Oryctolagus cuniculus: one gene and its partner. The protein of the gene in region 2 interacts with the protein of the main gene of each other region in a biochemical or structural test. Links are inferred from orthologs where the notes say so. Each region holds a gene or a part of one and is shown on either strand. Other genes may lie near its edges.

What was found.
Region 1: the proteins of CEP43 (region 2) and S100A6 form a complex in vitro, tested with the Homo sapiens proteins (2 studies listed by BioGRID and IntAct, with this or other methods). The link is inferred for Oryctolagus cuniculus from reciprocal best matches to the Homo sapiens genes CEP43 and S100A6.

What each region holds. Positions count from the first base shown.
Region 1 is NC_091438.1:44,763,644-44,766,311, reverse strand, and holds S100A6 (protein S100-A6), read right to left. Parts: upstream 1,297-2,668; 5' UTR 1,278-1,296; coding exon 1,140-1,277; intron 816-1,139; coding exon 681-815; 3' UTR 581-680; downstream 1-580. UniProt on the Homo sapiens protein: May function as calcium sensor and modulator, contributing to cellular calcium signaling.
Region 2 is NC_091436.1:2,051,213-2,054,859, forward strand, and holds part of CEP43 (centrosomal protein 43), read right to left. Parts: intron 2,159-3,647; coding exon 2,046-2,158; intron 79-2,045; coding exon 10-78; intron 1-9. UniProt on the Homo sapiens protein: Required for anchoring microtubules to the centrosomes. Required for ciliation.

The sequences.
Region 1 (2,668 bases), on a different chromosome or scaffold from region 2:
TACTTTTTGTATTCCTATTTGTTTGTTCTTTTCGCCCCGCCCCGTTTGGGCGCACCCTCTGATCCACGTTTCCATGGTGCTGCCAGCTCCTCCGACCACCACCCCCAACTAAGAGCTCTCCGCACCCGGGACACGGGCAGCCACAGTCACCCCAGTCACACTGTGGCCTCCATGATCGTGGAAAGGTCAAGCCTGGCTCGGACAGCCGAGGCTCTCGGTGGAGAGAAAGTGAATGGGCCCCACCCAGGGCCCGGCCAGCCCCTCCTCTCTCCTGGTACCGGGAGCACTTCCGGGAGCCCGAGAGGCTCTCTGTCCCACTTGGGAGGACCTCAGCCATCACAGCCCAGCCCAGCCCTGGCTCCCTCTCCTCCAAGCTCATCCCAGAGCCTTTCCTGAAGATGGCTTTGCCCAAAGGCCCCCTAGGAGCGAGCAGCAGCCTTGGGTGGGGGTGGGGGGCTCCTCGGGCCTGGCGGGTGCAGGAGTCACTCTCAGAGGCTGACCGTGCACAAGGGCTTCTGCCAGCTGGTGCATCACCAGGCCCAGGAGGGGTCAGAAATCACTGGGAAGCCAGGACACAGGGTAGGTTAACAAAAAAAAAATATATTTATCTTACAATCACCCACACTGGGTGTGACCCAGACAGGCCCCTGAGGGGTGCCTCCACCTTCCCCAGTCTGTCTTCAGCCCTTGAGAGCTTCATTGTAGATCATGGCCAAGGCCCCCAGGAAGGTGATGTATTCCTGGAAGTTCACCTCCTGGTCCTTATTGCGGTCCAGGTCGTCCATCAGCTTGACAATCTCAGCATCCTGCAGCTTCTAAGGAGGCAGAGGGGACACGCCGCTCAGTGGTGAAGAGGACCCCCACTCGCTACCTTCCCGGGCGGCCCTCAAGGGTTCCCTGCCCACTTATCACCAGGGACAGCATCCACCCGACTCCTAGGCTCCTCACTCAGTGGCGTGAATACCAGGCTGAGAGCACCCCCTGCCCCGCCCCCGCAGGAGAGTGGGACCAAGGCTCAGTGAAGCATATGGACCAGGACCCTGGGATGTGGTTATGTGGGAGTCAGGTGCACCTGACACACCTTCGGAACCCTGTTCCTACCAGGTGCCAATGGGCGGGGCCTGGGGACAGCTACTCACCGAGCCGATGGTGAGCTCCTTTTGGATTAGTTCCTTCAGTTCCTTCTTGCTCAGGGTGTGCTTGTCACCCTCCTTGCCAGAGTACTTGTGGAAGATGCCGATCAGGAGGCCAATGGCCTGGTCCAGGGGGCTTGCCATGGTTTCAGCTGGGCTGGGACTGGCAGCAGAGGGGCTGGTCAGTGCCAGGGCGGCAGACTCTGCACTCCCCACGCTGCCTGCCCCAACACCCAGCCTTGGCCACTTGGGGTAGCATTAGGGGAAGGGGGTGAGGAGAGGCCGACCTGGACCAGGGAGCAGGTGCCCCCAGGTGAGGAATTGTGAATTACCTCCAGGGCATCCAGGGGAGGCCGCAGAGTGTGGCTGGGCTAGGATGGAGGGCGGCAGCACACACGGCCTCTGGCACAGCCGGCCAGGCCACACACCGCGGTAGTGACACGCCCGGGACACACCCTCCCGCGCCCCGAGAGCACTCTACAGGGAGCCAGGGGATGCCTTAGCCCGGGGCCTGGCTGGCGTGGTCCAGACGCTCCTGCCCGGGAGCTCCACAGACAGACGCGCCCGGTACGGACGTAAACGCCTACCGCCCGCGGGCCAGGGCAGGGAAAAGGTCCCGGGGCCGCCCAGGGGAGGGAGGACTCACGGTACTGCAGGCTGCGCGGCGCGGAGGGAACGGTCAGGACCTGGGCTGGGCCGCGGCCGGGCGGCCTTATAGCGGCTGGCGTCGGGGAGGCCGGCGGGGCGGGACCCACCGCACGGCCCACGGCCCGCCCCGAGCCCCACCCTGCGCCCGGACTTGCACAACCCGCCCCCGCCCACCCCCCCACCACGGCTCCTCCCGCCTCCTGCTCCGAGTTGGGACCGATAGCCGGATACGTTGGGGAAGTACGGGGGGCCTAGTGGGGACCACTGCAAGCGGTGATGGGGGCGTTTCCCTAATTTTTGTAGCTCGACGTGCTTTTCGTGACACGTGACACGGCGTGGGGGAGGGGAGAGGAGGAAGAGGAAGAAGCCCCTGGTCAGTCCTGCATCTTCCTTAGCCACCTAAGCACCAAAGCATGAAGATGTCCCCGGAGGCAGGGTCCCCGGCGGGGAGGGTCGAAGGTGGGGAATCTCACAGCATGCAGGTGCCCCCCCCCCCCCAAGATGTGTACAGCTCCGGCCCCGCCTGGAGGAAGAAGGCTGAGCGGCTGGTGATCTGCAGATGCAATGTTTAAAACACCCATTCCCCTTTCCCCCACCAACAGCGAATCCCTTCCCCCACTGCCAGGAATGGCGCTGGAGCCTCTGCCAGTTACTGTGCCCACACGCGGGAGCCAAGCCCAGGAAGCATCATTAGTTATTCACACTCCAGTGGAAAGTTTCCAGATTACCTCCAGAGAGAAGATTTTGACAGGGAGAGGGAAGAGAAAAAAGCGGGAGCCCCCAAGACCAATTTGCGGAGTGGAGGTGCTGGGGGGACATGGAGGGCAGCGAAGGGCTGGCCTGGAGGCCACACTGCCCCGGGTGAGACCACCACTGGGAGCCACATC
Region 2 (3,647 bases):
TCTGGTTACCTAATCCCAGGGACCCCATTTTATCGTTGACTAGCTTCAGATCCTTCAGCACCGCGCTTCCTCTCTTGCCTGTAAACAAACAAAAAATGACCAGGATTAAAGTGACTTTCAGAACGCAGCCTCCCCCACACACCCGTCCTCCCTTCAGCAGGAGGCTCCTTCATCAGAGCAGGAAACCCAGAGTCAGGGAAAAACCGCAGACGGGTTAAGGACGCTCACAGGACGCACGCCCTCCCTTCTGATCACACACCACGCAGACGTCGCGCTCACCAGCAGCTCGGAAGTCTGCCCTGTGCCTGGGGTTATTTTTATCAGTGCTGTTTTTCCTGGGGACTTCTGGACTTTGCTTCCACTCATCCAGCACTTCATCTACCAAGCTGACCTCTTGTCACTTTCACCTCTTAGTCCTCAGTTCTCAACACCCTGTCCACGTCACGTGCAGTCAGAGTGACATCATCGTGCCAGCCTGGCCTCTTTCCTGAAGGCGGCAACAGCCACAGACAAGAGCATGGCGAAGGCGCCATGAGCCACATTCTGGCACACTCTGGCTACCAGACGCTGACGAGAAGCCGGAGACCACTTCTCGTGTGCTGCAAGCCCCACGGTGACAAAAGCTTAGGAAGGACTGCACAATCAGGCAAAACACTGCAAATACTAGTCAATCTATTTCAGGAAAGTCCTGCAAGAGACGCACATGTATGCTCTAAACACTGCCAATCACATCCTGTCTGGTGTGACACAGCACACAAGGTCGGTCTGCAGATCTACATTCTTTAAAGATTTATTTATTTATTTGAAAGAAGAGTTAGAGAGAGAGAGAAAGCCAGAGAGGTCTTCCATCCATTGGTTCACTGCCCAGATGGCTGCAATGGCCAGAGCTGCGCCAATGTGAAGCCAGAGCCAGGAGCTTCCTCCAAGTCTCCCACGCAGGTGCAGGGGCCCAAGGACTTGGCCATCTTCCACTGCTTTCCCAGGCCACAGCAGGACTGGAAGTGGAGCAGCCAGGACTCAAACTGGTGCCCATATGGGATGCTGGCACTGCAGGCGGTAGCTTTACCCACAATGCCACAGCACCAGCCCCTACATGTTTGTTTTCAACTCAGCACTGTCACCACACTTAGGAGGGAGGGGAAGGGACGTGGTGAAGGAGTCTGGCTGTTCCATGTCTACCTCCTCATCTCTACTTCTGTAAACCTAAGAGACATGTGAGATCCCAGTCCCTGAGGGCAGACGACTGCTTCATTCAACCTTCCTATAAAGATTACTGCGGCATCACAGAACAAATTTCTATAAATAACTGAACCAGGGGGCAGCACTGTGGCATAGTAGGATAAGCCTCCATCCCCTATGGACGCTGGTTCAAGTCCTGGCTGCTCCACTTCCAATCCAGCTCTCTGCTGTGGCCTGGGAAAGCAGTAGAAGATGGCCCAAGTCCTCAGGCCCCTGCACCCACAAGGGAGACCTGGAAGAAGCTCCAGGCTTCTGGCTTTGGACTGGCCCAGCTCCAACCATGTAGCCCTTTGGGGAGTGAACCAGCAGACGGGAGACCTGTCTCTCTCCCTGTCTCTTTCCGTAACTCTCAAATAAATCAAATCTTTACAAAATGAATCAAGAAATAACTGAACTTAAATTCAGCTCAATTAATTCTAAATGTGCGAGAAATGACTTAAAAATTATTATATCTATTCCTTGACTTGAACTCATCTCAGGGTGAAAATCAGAAGCCAGAAGTGCACTGAACAGGCCTATGCTGCTAACACCCTCACTTAACAGCGCAGCACACGGCAGAGCCGCGGCCTTCCCTCTGCTCACAGGCTGACTGGGAGTCCCCGCCTGAAGTCTCCTGATGGGACAAGGAAAGGCAAAACGATACAGAGAATGCAACCGCTTCTGAAAAAACAAAAACACACGAGATTTTAACAGGAAACATCGAAATGATAAAGTTATGGGCTATATTACGATTTTCCTAGGAAAAGAATCCACAGTCATCGTATCCTACTTCACTGTAGAGAAACGCACCTGACACAGATACTCACTCTCAGAGTCTTTCAAGGAGGGGGCTCCCTCCAGTGAGCTGAGTCCACTCCGCACGGGGGGCGCGTCTGAGAGGGGGGCCAGGCTGCCCACTGGCCTCCTAGCTTCACTTCTCCTGACAAAAGGCACGCGACAGTTACATGGCAGTCTCAGCGCCTGCCACCGAGGGAAGGCACAGCCCTCAGCCCAGAGCCCTGCAGCTGACACCGCTCGCAGACCCACAGAGCCAGCCAGAAGGAAGCAGCTCGGCTCTCGGCGGCTCCTTCCCTCTCCCCAGCCACACGGACTGCTCCAGCCCGCCCTCCCGGAGACATCTCAGGAGCCCTGTCCCACCCTCAGGAAGGCAGCCGTGAACAGAGGAGCCCACTGGCAAGCCTCCAACAGCCAAGCTGGGGACGTGCCCTTCAGCGGACAGCGCCAACCATGAGGGCTACCGATACTGCACAGCAACCCAGCCCCCACAGCCCCTTCCACACCTCCTCTAACCCCTCACATCTCCAGTCCTCCTCCTCTGGCCTCACGCAGCTGTGAACTCAAGGAGCGGGTGCACACGTCTCGCCCTGCTGACAGGGGCCACTCCGCTCGTCGTGAGGACAGTGAAGCCACTGCCTCAGACCCTGCAGCCCGCCCGGGGAGCCTGACTGACGCACTGGCTACTCTGGTCCCAACTCTGCTTCCTGCTAACGAGCAAAGACCCTGCGAAGCAGCAGGTGACGGCTCAGTGCTTGGAGACCCAGACACAGTTGCAGACTCCCAGCTTCAGCCTGCCCAGCCCTGGCTTTTCAAGATATTTTGGGAGTGAACCAGTAGACAGAAGATCTCTCTCCATCTATCTCTTTCTGCCTTCCCAATTAAAAAAACAAATTACGACAAGACATTAAGGGCCAGCATTGTAGTGTAGTGGGTTAAGCCACAGCCTGCAGAGCTAACATTCCATTTGGGCACCAATTTGAGTCCTGGCTGCTCGACTTCCAATCCAGCTCCCTGCTAACGCACTGGGAAGGCAGCAGAAGACGGCCCCAGTGCTTGGGCCTGCACCCTTGTGGGAGCCCTGGACGAAGCTCCTGGCCCCAAGCTTCAGCCTGGCCCGGCTCCGGCTGTTGTGGCTGTTTGGGGAGTGAACCCGCAGACTGAAGATCTCTGTCTCCCCTCTTTCTCTTTAACTCTTTCAAATGAATAAAACTTAAAAATTAACAAAAAAAACCAGGAGCGGCACGGCACCTCAGTGCGCACGGTGCTCTTCGCACGCTACCAGCCGTTCAGTCCCACATCCCGCCCTGCAGCCACCACCTCTGCACCCCTCACAAAACTCATCAGAAAACCAACGCGCTCTCTACAATTCCTGACCCACTCCAGTCCTTCCAGGCATCCCTGTCCTCATTCGAACAAAGCAGCCTGAACTCCATGGCTGAATCTGCTGAGGGGTTTCCAGCACATGTTCACAGGGCCTCTTCCAGCCTCTCCTCCCTCTCTCTCTCTCACCTCCCTGGCCCCATCCAGCCTCCCTCCCTCCCCCCTCCCTGGCCCTGTCCAGCCTCCCTCCCTCCCTCCCTCTCTCTCACCTCCCTGGCCCTGTCCAGCCTCCCTCCCTCTCTCCCCCTCTC